3 linked regions of the Canis lupus familiaris genome follow. The protein of the gene in region 2 interacts with the protein of the main gene of each other region in a biochemical or structural test. Links are inferred from orthologs where the notes say so. Each region holds a gene or a part of one and is shown on either strand. Other genes may lie near its edges.

Region 1 (4,771 bases), on a different chromosome or scaffold from region 2:
CTTTAATGATGTAAGTGCAGTAAATTTCCTGTAATAAAGTGACCTAAATGAGCTACAGTGAGGCAGTTAAACTGGATGCCAAGATTAAATCTTCTCATAATTTATCTGGATAGAGATAAGGAGTAGGAATCCATGATTTAATAGATTATATTGGGGTTGTAGCAACATACCCATAGAGAGGATCATCCAAGAATGGGTCTGAGTGGGAACATCGCATGTTGGTAGAATGTTTGTGGATCCCATGGGCTGGACTGAGTGCTTTTCTTAGGCACTGGATGTGAAGCAGCCTCTGTTTACCTCCATGGCGCTCATGGCCCTTATCACAATGGAACAAAATTACTTTATCTTAATTGCCTCTTCCACCAGGCTATAAACTCCCTGATGACTGAGACTGGGAATAGTGGGATAAATGATAAATAATTGATCATAACTGCCATTTTTAAATTACTTACCGTGTCCAGACATGCATGCTTTGCATGTATTACTATATTTGAAGACTCACAACTCTCTAAGATACTATCTTATTTTACAGATGATAATGAGTCTCAAGAACTAGGGTCAGTAGCATAGTGTCATGCAGTTACTATGGAGAAGAGCTATAATGCTTTCAGTTCATCTTTGGGTTAAGCCAACGTGGTGCCCATTGAGGTAATTTATGGATGGATGGATGGAAGTATAAAGGAGTAGCTTATGGCTGTTTAAAAATTTACTTAAGTAAAATATAAATTCATAGGGACCATTAGAAAACAAGTTTTTTTGTTGTTGTTCCCAGAGGTTATTTTAGCCTGCAAATACCCAAAGAAGACCATCTCCTCCAGATTAGAGTGGAAGAAACTGGGCCGGAGTGTCTCCTTTGTCTACTACCAACAGGCTCTTCAAGGTAAGAAGCTATAGACTTGATGAGGTGAGAGCAAGAGAACACCAAGTACAGCCTGGGTTCTTTAACTTACCAATGGGAACAGGGAAGGGCTAATTACTGAGAATGTGGGGTTTTTAATCATTTTATTTTGTTTTATTTTATGTTATGTTATTTTCATCATGATAAGTGTACTCTTAATCCCTGTCCCCTATTTCCCCCATTCCCCTACACACCTTCCCTCTGGTAACTATCAGTTTGCTCTCTATCTATACTTAAGAGTCTATTTCCTGGGTTGTTGTTTTGTGTGTGTGTGTGTGTGTGTGTGTGTGTGTGTGTCTTTCCCCTTTGCTTACTGTTTTGTTTCTTAAATTCCACATATGAGTGAGACCATATGGTATTTGTCTTTCTCTGACTGACTTATTTCACTTAGCATACTACCTTCTTGTTCTAGCCATGTTGTTGCAAATACCAAGATTTCATTCTTTTTATAGCTGAGCCATATTCCATTTTTATATATATCTACCACATCTTCTTTAGCCATTCATCTATCAGTGGACACTGGCCTGCTCCCATAATTTGGCTGTTGTAAATAATGGTGCAATAAAGATAGGGGTGCATATATCTCTTTGAATTCGTGTTTTTGTGTCTTTTGAGCAAATACCCAGTGTGATTCCTGGATCATAGGCTAGTTCTGTTTTTAATTTTTTCCCACCAACAGTGCACAAGGGTTCCTTTGTCTCTTTATCCTCACCAACACCTGTTATTTCTTGTGTTTTTGTTGTTAGCCATTCTGACAGATGTGAGGTGATACCTCATTGTGGTTTTGTTTTGCATTTCCCTGATGATGAGTGATGTTGAACATCTTTTCATGTGTCTGTTAGCCATCTGTATGTCTTCTTTGGAGAAATGTCTATTCATGTCTTCTGCCCATTTTTAATTGGATTACTTGTTTTTTGGGTTTTCAGTTCTTTATGTATTTTAAATCCTAACCCTTTATTAGATATATCAGTTGAAAATATCTTCTTCCATTCCATATGTTGCCTTTTAACATTGTTGACTATTTCATTCACTATGCAGAAACTTTTTACTTTGATATAGTCACAATGGTTTATTTTTGCTTTTTTCCCCCTTTCCTCAGAGACCTATCTAGAAACTGTTTGCTACAGCCAATGTCAGAGAGCACAGGTTTTCTCTTTGAGGATTTTTATGGTCTTGGATCTCATATTAAGGTCTTTAATCTATTTTGAGTTTATTTTTATGTATGGTGAAAGAGAATGTGTTTTGTAAGTGTAAGATGAACCCAACAATGACTGAGACCTAAAGCATAATCACCATGAAAACGGGACAGAGAACAGAAGAAAGTTGAACACCATGGAGGCCCTAGACCCTTCGTGTCTCAACTCAGTCCTAAAGGATATAAAATGCAGTGGTTCTTGCTGACCCAGTAGATTAGACTCTTGAGAGAAAGGAAGATGAGATGGTGTGGAAGTGAGATGTTCTGTGGTAATAATGTTACCCTATTTCCATATCACCATCTAGGAAGGTAGGCCATAGCTAAGAGCTCTACAGAGTTAAGACTTAGACTTCTGGTTGGGGAAGGGTAAACACAACTATCTTTAACCAGTGCTTTATTTTTAATTCTTTATTTTTTATCCATTTCTTTCCACTTGCTGTTTTCCTGTTGAATATATACTGAGCTTTTAAAGTATTGATAATAATGGATAAAATGCTATGATGTATGGGACTTACCTCAAAATAATTCAGTGTTTAGAGGTACAGATGGAATAAGATAGACCATGCATGGGTTACTGTTATTGCTGGGTGATGAGTTTTATTTTACAATACTCCGTAATTTTTTGTGTGCTTGAAATTTTCCATTATAAACATTTTAAAAGTTGGAAATATAACAAGTATAGGAAGCATGTTATTATTTTAGAATACTATGCATTACTTTAATTTTAAAAGAATTAAGTATGTGAACAGATGTTTAAAGTCCATAAAGAATTTAAAATACCCATCTTGTTTTCATCTGTCAGGATAGGACTGCTGCAGGCCACAGGGCTGTCTTTGCTTGAATTTTCTACCATTGCCAATCTAGCACCTGAATGTTTTACAAAACACTATTTTCATTCTGTACATGTTACTACCAAACACTAATCAAAAGAGTGTTTTTAAGACCCATTCACCTTTTCTTTTGGGGCAGTATGATGTGGGCCACCACACATAAAGTTACTGTTCCAGCTAAATTAACTAGATGCTGCAGTGCCTTCTGAAGGTGTGAATGTTTATATAAGCTTATTAGAAAGGGGATGAGGCAAGAATGAGGATTGAATCTTCTAAAATATGAGAATATTGAACCCAATGTTCTTTTGTGAACTGTTATTCTAAAAAAAAAAAAAAAAAAGAAGAAGAAATTTGAAATAGCATCGGCATATAACTTTTTGAGTTTTTTATTTAAATTCAATTAGCCAACATATAATAGGTCATTAGTTTCAGACGTAGACTTTCAGTAATTCATCAGTTGCTACAGTACCCAGTGCTCATCACATCACGTGCCTTCCTTAATGCCCATCACCCAGTTACCCCATGCCCCCATCCAGCAACCCTCAGTTTGTTTCCTATACTTAAGAGTCCTTTTTGAGTTTTAAATTGAGTTCATTAATAGGGAAACAAATGCCTTGGTCACTGAATGAAGTGACTAGAGGAAGGTAGTATATAGAAAGTTATTTGCATTATTATTAACATTATTGTTTTCTTTTTCTAAAAGGTGATTTTAAAGATCGAGCCGAGATGATAGACTTCAGTATACGGATCAAAAACGTTACAAGAAATGATGCTGGGAAATACCGCTGTGAAGTTAGTGCCCCATCTGAGCAAGGCCAAAACCTGGAAGAAGATACGGTCACTCTAGAAGTGCTAGGTGTGATGTGCTTGTAGCTGTAGGATTACTGTTCTCCACCCTCATCCCCATCACCTAGGCCACCTGGGGCCCTGGTTAGGAAAGTTCTAGAAATCACCAACACCACCTTTCCTGTAAAATCTTGGCTATTGCCCCTTTTCACCTCATTCGCTGCCAAAATTTTACTCTTAGAAATTTGTTGTGACAAAAATCTCTTTTCATTTCAGGTTAAGGTAAATCTTAATGGCCCTATCTTCTACACAGGAGTTTTTCCCCTAACAGTTTATTTTTCAGTACCTTTCAGTATACAGGGTCTATCTCTTACATATAAAATCCAATCACACGAGATGACGGAAAAGCCTTAAAACAAAAAAGTAGGTCAGGGAAAGTATTAGAAATTATTTGGTAAAAAAGAAAAGAAAGGGAAAGAAAATGAAAGAACAAAGAAAAGAAAAAAGAAAAGAAATTGGGTAAAGAAGGGAAATTAGGATTTATTGTGCAGCTAGTATATGTTAGGCTCTTACACATACATAATTTTACTTAATCTTCACTGACAGCTTCATTTCTATAGATGAGAAAATAGAAGCTAAACGATTTTTTCCAAGTCTACATAGCTAATAATTGTCTGGACCAGGATTTGGATCCTGGTGGGATTAACTCCAAAGCCAATATATTTAGCTACTATGAGAATCCCTGATAGATACTAACAGCTCATGATGACAACTGGTGGAGGAACATGATCTTTTCTTCCCCCTGGATGTTACTGTAAAAACTGCTGACCATAGAGAGTAAAATGACTCCTCTTCCTTTTTCTATATAACCCAGGGTCTTTCTAAAATGCTAGTCACTCGCTAGTATAGCAGAAATTAAATTCAGAAAACTTTGCAGGAGATTCAGCTGGTGTATTAGTCTTCTCTTGCTACATAACAAATGATCACAAACCAAGCAGCTTACACCACCACCTGTTTATTAGCTCACAGTTCTGTAGATCAGAAGTCCAGCTTGACAAGGCA
Region 2 (5,224 bases):
AGCTGTAATTGCTTTCACATAACTTAGGAACAACTGGAAAACATGAAGTTATTACCGTTTAGGACAGACATGGACAAACGACTGTCTGCTGGCATTGGCCATTCTTTAAACACAGGGACATACAGTTATTAAGGAATCATGGCTCATAACTGAGACAGAGACCAGCGCTAGTTACTTTTCTTGACTCGGTCCACTTTCTTCTAAAATGTTTCATGTCCCCCGTGCATGTAACTCATTATGGAGCTGCTCTCTCTTCCTGAGATTTAGGTGGGGATCCCGTTGCACAGCTTCCCCCAAGGCATTCTGAGCATATCGTTCATGAAGTGGTGTTAGGATTGCTCCTGTTGCAGAATTTTGAGAAATAGAATTACCTGAATTGCGGGTGTTAGAATTCTAGGCGTTGAAGTGGGAGGCTCATCAGGGGGTCGGTCATAGGAAACTTCAAGGTACATAGTGTGGCCTCTGGAGAAAGGCCAGGTCGAGTCAGAGCCTCCTGAAGCTCTCCCCAGAGCAGATGCTCTTAATTTTTGCTTTTAACACACAACCAGCCTACGCCGGCCTTGCAGCCCAGCAAGCAGCGAGCCAGTGCAGAACCCTGGGCCCGGGTGTGTGTGTGTGTGTGTGTGTGTGTGCGCGCGCGCACGGCGGCGGCGGGAGGGGAAGCCTCCGCTGGACAACCTGGCCAGCCCCATCCGTCCTCCTGGGGCTCCGTGGGGACGGCTCCTCTCCGAGCGTCTCTGTGCCTTCAGTCCGCGGCGCCACGAGTAAAGTGTTTTCTCCAGGAACGATTTCTCGCGAACCCTCAGCAGGAGAGAAGGGATCAAAAGTGACAAAGGAAGGGGGTGGGCTCTGGAGAGACCCCGGGTGTCGGGGTGGGGGTGTGGAGCGGCGCCCCGAGGAGGGCTCCACCGCACCAGCACAGCCGCGCCGCGCCGCGCCGGGGCGCTCCAGGGGGCCGGGGCCGGGGCCGGGGCCGGGGCCGGGGCCGGGGCCAGGGGTGCGGGCGGGGCCGGGGCCGGGGCCGGGGCCGGGGGTGCGGGCGGGGCCGGGGAGGGCCGCGGTGCCTCGGGCGGGGGTCGGCGGGGCGGGGGAGGGGCGGCCCGGAGGGAGGCCGCGTGCCGGGCGGGTCCCAGCGGTCGGGGCCCCGCGGCCGCCCGCGCCCGGGGTAGGGGGGGGGCGGGGAGGGGAGGGGAGGGGGCGGGGGCGGGGGCGTGGGCCGCGGGCGTGGGCCGCGGGCGTGCGCTCCGCCCCGCGCCTCCCCTGCCGCATGTGCGCGGTGTTGTGTGCCGGGCCCCGCTCCGCCCCGCCCCGCTCCGCCCCGCCCCGCTCCTCCCCGCCCCGCCCCGCCCCTCGCTGCTGTCCCCTCCCCCCTGCCCCCGCGGCCCGAGGAGCCAGAGCGAGGAGCGAGGAGCGAGGAGCGAGGAGCGAGGAGCGCGAGCGCCACACCGCCTCGGGCCGCCGCCGCCGAGCGCGCCGAGACGCCGAACAGGTGGCCGGAGGCTGCGGGCGCCGCGGCGGGGAGAGGCGAGGCGGGCCCCGGGCCGGGGAGGGCGGCCGGGCCGGGCCGGGCCGGGCCGGGCCGGGCATGCGAGCCGAGGCCCCTCGCCGCCGCTAGCCCGCGCCCGGGTCTGTCTCCCGCGCCCCGGCCCCGCCGCGCCCCTGCGCCCAGCGCGGGCAGCTCCGCCGCGGTCAGGGGGGCGAGGGCCGCGGCGGCGGCGGCGGCGGCGGCGGCATGAAAGTGACCGTGTGCTTCGGGCGGACCCGGGTGGTCGTGCCGTGCGGGGACGGGCACATGAAAGTTTTCAGCCTCATCCAGCAAGCGGTGACCCGCTACCGGAAGGCCATCGCCAAGGTGAGGGGCCGGGGGCGCGCGGGCCGGGGCGGGGGCGGGCGGAGGCGGGAGGGGACGGGGTCGGGGACGGGGACGGGGACGGGGAGGAGGAGGGAGGGGGAAGCGCCGGGATCAATATGGCGCTTCCTGGAAAAGGGAGGAGGGAGACGGAGGGGAGGCGGGGAAAGGGAAAGTGCGGCGGCCGGCCGGGCCTCGCGGGCGCCCCCCGCCCCGGGCCGCGGGAGGCCGAGTGGTGGGCCCGGGCCGGGCGGGGGCGGGGGCAGCCGGGCCCGAGCGCGCAGGACCCCGCGGCCCCTCTCGGGCGGCCCTCCCCTCCGCCCCCCTCCGCCCCCCTCCGCCCCCCTCCGCCCCCCTCCGCTCCCGGGGCTCCGGCCGTGCAGCCCAGCCGGGACCCGCTCTCCCCCGGGCCGCGCTGCGGGCGCTGGAAATCCAGCCTCAGGCCTCTCCCCGCCCCGGGCCCCGCGCCCCGCGCCCCGCGGCAGAGGCTGCGGACCGGGAACTTTTGAGGTTGGAGGAGAGTTTGTTGGGCGCACGGCGGGGAGCGGCCGCGTCCGCGCTCGGCACCGCCCGGGGGGGGGGGGGGCCGGGGCCGCCAGCTGCTGCCTCCAGGTCGCCGCGGCAGCGCGGGCAGCCGGTGGGGGCCGTGGCCGGCCGCGGTCGCGGAGGAAGCCCCGGGAGGGACACCCGCCCGCGCGGCCCGTGCACGCTGCCAGGCGCGGAGTCGCGGTGCTGGAGACGCCCCGGGCGGGCCCCGTGAAGGCAGCCCCCGAGGCCAGTCGCCGGCTCGAAGGTCTCTCCGCGGGGGACCCCCGCGCCCGCCTGCCCGGGCCGGCTCCCCGCGGTGCGGGGCTGCGGCGAGGGCCTGAGGCCGCGGGGAGGCCCCCTCTTCCCCGTGGACGGGTAACACTGTCTCCACTTAACTACATTCTTCTACAATGTGTCACGAGTGAAAAGACATTTTGTTGAATTGCTTTACCGGCCCTCGTGTTTGGCGACGGCCGAGCCCCTGAGTTCTGTCGAGCACCCGGGGACGTTTCCTGGGCTCGGGAGCAACGTCGGGCCGAAAGCATGTTCGCTTCACGCGCTTCCCACTTGCGAGGTGGCCTGGCTCGCCGGGGCTTGGAGAGGCGGTGACGCTGACGGCACGGGACGGGACGGCACTTTGCAGGCCTGAGTGCACACAGGGCGCGGCCTCCCGTGCCGTCTGAAATTAAGGCAGAAATACATTTTACACGGTTTGGTTTTTAGTATATATCGGGAAGAATAGCGGAAATACGGCCTTTTGAGGATAATCTGGGGGGTCTTTTAGCAACCTGACATGAAGATGAAAGATGTTGACTCTATGTAACAGCTCTAAAATGTTCCTTGCACTTGGTTTAACTTATCGAAAACCAAATAAAATTAGTGGAAGTTGGACACCCGTTTATCTTGCACTGCTGGCAACGGGAAGCATATTCTCTAAACCTACGTTTTGCATTTTAAAAGATTGTTTATGAATGGCAGTTTATGATCTGAATGTTCTAAATCAATGATCAGGTTGCATATATACTTTGGAAACCAAAATAAGTTGTGAAAGGAAAGAAAGATACAATAATATGTCCTAAGCACTGTGCCTGTGTTCCTACACAGAGAGGACATTTCCTTTCATTTTACTAATTTTACATGCATAAAGTGAGTTGTTCCATTATGCACACCGTGGATATTGGTCGAAATACCAATATAGTTTGATGGAGTCGTTCGTTCCTTCCACAGAATTTTTTTTTTTTAAAGATTTTATTTATTCATGAGAGAGAGACAGAGAGAGGCAGAGACACAAGCAGAGGGAGGAACATGCAGGGAGCCCGATGTAGGACTGGATCCTGGGACTTCGTGATCACACCCTGAGCCAAAGGCAGACGCTCAACTGCTGAGCCACCCAGGTGTCCCTTCCACGGAAATTCTTAAGCGTTTACTATATTCAAGGCACTGTTCTGGGTGCTGGACATCTAGGGGGCCCACTGGCTGCTTTGTGGAAGTTGGAGTGTAAGAGTCTAGGCTCTGTGGTCATTCAAGGGAAGGAGACGGTGGTGTGGACTGTCATGCTGTGGTGCACTGAGAAGAGAATGGATCTGGGATATTGGGTAAATGTAACTGAGGAGTCTCCGTGATAGATCGATCTGGACCTTGTTTTTAAATGTTAGTGATAGTTTTCCTAGGGACCCAGGAACATGGAGAAGGCAGTGCAGTTTTCTTAAGAGAGTCTGGAAAGGCATCCCAGAGCACACGAGCTGAGTTTTTAGAGGGTTTGAGATGGAACACCAGGTGGAGAAGGAAGGAAGAGTGATTCTCAGAGGATGATGGTAGCATTGGAGTGGGATACAAATGAGTGGGAGGAGTTAGAGATGAGTCAGGGTGTTCTAAAATTATTTAAAGCCTCTTTCAGTGAAGTTCACAGTTCAGTGGGTGAATTTTAAGATGGGCTTTGTAGTACACAAGGGTTAATCATTGGATCACAAGACTGTTGACTCTCAGATGTTGCAAGAGCTTGAGTGACTTCCAGGTTCATTTGTGTCTTTTCTTCTTAAGTTGTTAGGTAATGGTTGAGACTAAATTTTCGTCTTTCTTCTCACTTCTCCCACCTTATTTAAGGTGATTGTGAAGCAAACACATATTAACACTTGCTTCAACTCTTAATGTCTCTTCTTTACCTCTTACTGTTTAATAGGACAAGATACATTTTGTATGAAGAACCTGGGTAGCCTGCTAGCTGTAGAGTGGTATTTAAGTTGCTAGGTGACATGTGGCATGACAAACTGTCATCTGGCGGGGAAAAATGTAGAAAGATCATGTTTATGGCTTTGTATAAAAATTAACTAAGTTTCCCCCAAAAGGAAAAAAGGAAAAGGGAAACAAGTCACTAAGCTTTCTCTGCAACATGTATTTTGTAGTGTGGTGGGCTATTATATTTGACATTATATTTCAGCTATTTTCAGGTTAAACAAATCAATTTTTCTGGACAGTGGAGTGGTGTGACTTAATACCGGAAATGTCTTCAATAAGCAGATATTTAAAGGCTTACACTTAGTCATAGCGTTTTTTTTTTTTTTCCCCCTCCAGTGAAAAAATGTTTTTCTGCTTATGATCACCGATGGGTGAAAATGTTTTGGCTGTTCCATCTCCATCCACACATCCTCATCTAGACCCTGTCTAAGGCGAGTGTTCTGCTAGATACTGATAATTATGTTGCAGGAACTATTCTCGAGGACTTAGAATTGGAGGGCTGTCTGCTGTGTATGTATGTGTTCATTCTTCTAGTGCCTGCAGGTGGACTCATCCTTGAGTCCTGATGAACACAGAGTGCAGAGCACCAACTGCAGTGACTTTTTAGTGTGG
Region 3 (4,771 bases), on a different chromosome or scaffold from region 2:
CGTGACCCGGACAGATTCAGCCCTTTATCGCTGTGAGGTGGTTGCTCGAAACGACCGCAAAGAAATTGATGAGATTGTCATTGAGTTAACTGTACAAGGTAGGAACTCACATGAAGTTAACACACTCCCCCTCTCAGGCCTCATGAGTCTGTCCATAAAAAAGATTGGAAGGGGAAATATAAATAAGAATTAAAATAAAAGATCAGCTCTTACTCGTTCCCTCTAGAGCTACATCCCTCGGGGCATCACGGGACTTAGGCAATGGGCGGTTGTGGGCGCTGAAACCGCCTGAGCTGGGGTGCAAGGTGAGAAGGTAAGGGGAGCTCCAGCTACTCCCCTCACCAGTTGTAGAAGGCACTCCTCAGGGGGGTGGAGGCGTCAGAAACGTGCTGTGGGGTTATCTGTGGGGGGGTGAGCTGGGGGCAGATGCGGAGGCAGATCTGAGCCTGTGGTTGTGACATGGGGATGGCAGTGGGGCATCGCCTGGCTGGCTCTCCTGGTTTTGGAACAGATTAATTGTGGGCTTTGAGAAGAATCCTTCTACGTCACTGACTTGAAACCCCAACCCGTATTCCTCCCACAGTGAAGCCAGTATCTCCTGTGTGCAGAGTCCCGAAGGCTGTCCCTGTGGGCAAGACGGCCACGCTGCACTGCCAGGAGAGTGAGGGCTACCCCCGGCCCCACTACAGCTGGTACCGCAATGATGTGCCGCTGCCCACAGATTCCAGAGCCAATCCCAGATTTCGAAACTCCTCTTTTCTTTTAAACTCTGAAACAGGCACTCTGGTAAGATCTCTTCTCAGAGGTGAGGCTAGAAACATCTTTGTTGGGGAAGGGGTACCTCGTGTGGAAAGAGCACTGATTAAGAGACACAATGAGCTTTGTAAGACAGGAGCCAAAACCCCATACTGTTGGAGAGTCTGGGAAAAATGAACCTCTCTTCCTCTTTATAAGCAAATAAGCGCTCAGGGAATAAATAGAGGAAAGGAAACTTGTAGAATAAAGGGGATTGTGGAGGTGTATGAAATCAATGTAATGGGTTGGTGACGTCAGGGTCCTGATGTGAATAACCACCTAGAGAAATCAAGAGACCGGGCAGTTGGGTTCCATCTGAAGAAGTCCTTATGTTTTAGAGATGCCTGCTGGAGAATTTATGGGGAAAACATGTCTAGAATGGTCTTCAAAGTAACCCAGTGGAGGGAAGCCAGTGAGGGGAGAGGTGAAGTAAGATGGGTCGTGTGTGGAGGACAGGCTGCCCCCTCCGCAGCCTCTCCCTGGGCTCCACTGCAGCCAGGCCTCCCGATCCGTGGTGTATCTAACCGCACTCGTGGCGAGCTGGTTTGGATGGCATCCTCTGTACTGGTATCGCCCAGGCGTTGCTGAGGGATAATCCTCTACCAGAGCCCCTTTCCCTGAAGCAAGGCAAAACTCAGCCTGCATCCTGGATGTTGCCAGGCCTCGAGATCTCCAAACCCTGAGCAGATCTCACTCTTCAGGAGCTCCTGGGCGAGACTTTGGGAAAGGAATCGGGGGAGAGCCGGGACGGTGACTAGGAAGCTGAACAGGAACCCAGACAACTGAGCAGACCTCTTGCTCCGTTCTGGACTTAGCCCGTTGGTCAGGCTCTTCCCTTCAGCCCAGGGGGTCCACCCCGTTGCTTGGACTCATGACTGTCATTTCCGAAACAGGTTTTCAGTGCTGTTCACAAGGAGGACTCTGGGCAGTATTACTGCATCGCTTCCAATGACGCAGGCTCGGCCAGATGTGAGGAGCAGCAGATGGAAGTCTGTGAGTTACTTCGTGAAGATATTTCATCTGCAGACTGTCAAGTGGATAGAACGTTTTTAATTTAATATTAGACCATCAGTTTAGACAAGTGGTCAGCTTTCTTCTGGAGATGACTGGAGTCCCCAAAACCCACTCGGGTACATTGAAAGGACAGATGAGAAAAGTCTGAGTAACAGCTAAATGACTAATAAGTGGGTACTTGCAATATGTTTATCTCCTCAAAATAGACTTTCTGGAGTCTTCTGATGTTGGGAACATAGTTACTCATATCACTTTTAACTGAATTTAATAAACTCCATTTTGGGGTGCCTGAGTGACTCAGTCAGTTAACGGTTTGACTCCGGCCTTGATCTCAGGGGAGTGTGAGCCCCATGTTGGGCTCACGCAGCATGTGGCACCTGCTTAAATAAACTCCAATTTTTTGATAATTGATAGACTTATCAAGACATAACCTATATAAGGTCTCCAGAAATTTATTTAGTTGACCGTCATTTTGTGGTCAGCTGACACCCAGTTACCCTGTTCTGTGAGGACACCGTCTCTGGAGTCCTGGTTCTACAGGGGAGGTTGGAAGGCAGGATGGGGCGGATGGGGCATGTCACCATCATCACCACCTGGGGCACCCCTTCCTCCTTCCTGCGCATAACTGACCCCAGAGCAGTGTTTTCCAAGCTTGCCAGATTGTGAGAAGTGTTGGATTGCAAGGCACCACCCCAGGCGCTGGACTCTGTCCCCAGGGGCGGTCTGGGAACTTCTGCGTGTTAAACTGTTTCCAGGGGATTCTTGACATCTGTCAGATGCAGGAAACTGCTCCAGGGCAGGAGGAAGACTCTTGGGCTTTGCTGCACACCCACCGAATCTCTAGTGAGAGTGCTTGGGGCCGGACAGTGTAAAGTCAGAGTTTCAGTGTTTAATTGCACACTCACATTCGAAACCACCGTAGTAAGAGAAGTTCGTTGCTTAGGCGGATATATTGCTGCCTGTTTTCCACCGCATTATCCTCTCATGAAGGCAACAGCCCCAGTGCCCCACACTGATGGGGACTGAGTACCTTTGCCAAGTATGTGGAAATGGGAGGAGGGCGTCAAGGGGTTTCCTCCACGGGGCGTGTAGATAGGAGGCCAGGCAGCTGGTAGTGAAAGGTCACGTTCCCACCTCAGATTTTTACTTTTCAGTCCTGTGCGAAACTAGTTCTTTTCCTCCAGATAACGCACAGCAGAGGGAATCCCTGGAAATTAGGGATTTTTTTTCTTGGGGATTCCTGGCTCCTAATGGTCTTCATAAAATGGAACCATTTCCTCCATTAATAATATTTTCAGGGATTAGCCGGAGGACCATAAGCCTTCTATATGTGGCTAAGCCCCTTTTAATACAGGATTAAGTGTAACAGCATTTGCACTGTGGTGGTCCCAGTACTTTTTACAAGTGAGGGCAGGGATCCAGGGTCCTGTATGTTCTGGGCTGGAAAGACTGAAGTGGTGTTACTATAGCCTGGGGGAGGGGGGGGGGGCGGGGGCGCATGAGGGTGGAGCGGGGAGGAGGGAAGAGCAGGAAGGAGGGAGGCCTGGTGGGATCGGTGGCTGTGGTAAGACCGGATGGCATGTTCCTCCCCTCTCTCAACCCCTCTTCCCCCAGATGACCTGAACGTTGGCGGCATCGTTGGTGGGATCCTGGTGGTCCTTGCCGTCCTGGCCCTGATAACAGTGGGCATCTGCTGCGCATACAGACGGGGTTACTTTGTCAATAATAAACAGAATGGCGAAAGGTGAGCCTGTCCTCTGTGCTGGGTGACGAAGCCCAGTGTACACGGGCGTCCCGCGAAGTCATAGTCATTGAAGCCCTTTCTCCTCCTTTTTCAGTTACAAGAGTCCAGGGAAGCCAGATGGCGTGAACTATATCAGGACAGATGAGGAGGTAAGGAGAGGAATGAGGCAACAGAGCAGACGTCATTTAGGAAACCTAGAGATCGAGGTCTTTCCAGCAGAGCAGGTGATGGCTGTCCTTGGACAGTTTGTCCACACTTCTGGCGTTCGGTGCGCAGGTTCTCGTAGGTGTCCCTCTTGAAGAATGGTTTCATTTGATCTATTTTGCTCTAAGTTTTTTTTTTAGGGAAATGGCTCAGGCCCGACGTCCACGCTCCCTCTCCCCTCCCCCTCGGGGCCCTGGGCTGCCAGAGGGTGGGCGGCCGGCCGTGTCTAACCTGTGCTGCCATTGCAGGGCGACTTCAGACACAAGTCATCATTTGTCATCTGACTGTGACGGTGTGGCTGGGGGAGCACATGCAAATACCTCTACCAGAACCTCCTGGCAAGAGCGGCCTGGGAGCCAAGTGCACCCGGACAGAGCTAGACACTTGCGCAAAAGCTTTTTGTTTTGGCCAAAGTTGACCGCTACTCCTTTCTTACTTTTTTAACAAGCCACATGAATAAAAAAATTTTCCTCGAGATGGGCACGGTCATCACAAGGAAAAAACTGCATTTCCCTGAGGCTGACTCCCCGTCTGTTTCTGGCCTGGCTCTTACCTGCGTGTTCGGGTGATTGGGAAGCTCTCGCTCACAGGCTGGGCTGCGTACCGCAGGCCTGTGAAGCCAGTTTGCCACTCACCTCCATCAGCCAGGGGGAGTCCGTATGTGGGACGACAGCCACGGGGCGCCGGCGCAGCAGGGCTGGGAGCACCACCCCCCGCGACACCCTCCAACGGCAGTTTAACCCAGTGAATCCAGAACAGAGGCATTTGATGTGATGATCTTGTTTTACAGCGGCCCACGCGCAGCACTGCACTGATCCTTGAAGGTTTTGTTGATCAGTATTCTAGCGTCCATCTTGGAAAATCTCTCTGCATCAGGATGTTATAAAAGCAGCCCAACTGGGAAGGTAGATTGCTTGTTGGAAGAAGGGATCTTCTCACCTGTAGGAACCCTGTTTGTCCTGGGTGGGGCGAGGCAATGTTTCAGTATTTACAGAAAACCATCTTCGGTGAAAT

What was found. The genes of interacting proteins can lie anywhere in the genome.
Region 1: the proteins of PARD3 (region 2) and junctional adhesion molecule B form a complex in vitro, tested with the Homo sapiens proteins (2 studies listed by BioGRID and IntAct, with this or other methods). The link is inferred for Canis lupus familiaris from reciprocal best matches to the Homo sapiens genes PARD3 and JAM2.
Region 3: the proteins of PARD3 (region 2) and JAM3 form a complex in vitro, tested with the Homo sapiens proteins (2 studies listed by BioGRID and IntAct, with this or other methods). The link is inferred for Canis lupus familiaris from reciprocal best matches to the Homo sapiens genes PARD3 and JAM3.

What each region holds. Positions count from the first base shown.
Region 1 is NC_049252.1:21,727,550-21,732,320, forward strand, and holds part of junctional adhesion molecule B, read left to right. Parts: intron 1-772; coding exon 773-880; intron 881-3,626; coding exon 3,627-3,779; intron 3,780-4,771. UniProt on the Homo sapiens protein: Junctional adhesion protein that mediates heterotypic cell-cell interactions with its cognate receptor JAM3 to regulate different cellular processes. Plays a role in homing and mobilization of hematopoietic stem and progenitor cells within the bone marrow.
Region 2 is NC_049223.1:2,362,161-2,367,384, forward strand, and holds the start of PARD3 (partitioning defective 3 homolog), read left to right. Parts: upstream 1-1,686; 5' UTR 1,687-1,732; coding exon 1,733-1,852; intron 1,853-5,224. UniProt on the Homo sapiens protein: Adapter protein involved in asymmetrical cell division and cell polarization processes. Seems to play a central role in the formation of epithelial tight junctions. Targets the phosphatase PTEN to cell junctions.
Region 3 is NC_049226.1:1,111,688-1,116,458, reverse strand, and holds part of JAM3 (junctional adhesion molecule C), read left to right. Parts: coding exon 1-98; intron 99-583; coding exon 584-786; intron 787-1,688; coding exon 1,689-1,788; intron 1,789-3,423; coding exon 3,424-3,553; intron 3,554-3,647; coding exon 3,648-3,702; intron 3,703-4,005; coding exon 4,006-4,041; 3' UTR 4,042-4,771. UniProt on the Homo sapiens protein: Junctional adhesion protein that mediates heterotypic cell-cell interactions with its cognate receptor JAM2 to regulate different cellular processes. Plays a role in homing and mobilization of hematopoietic stem and progenitor cells within the bone marrow.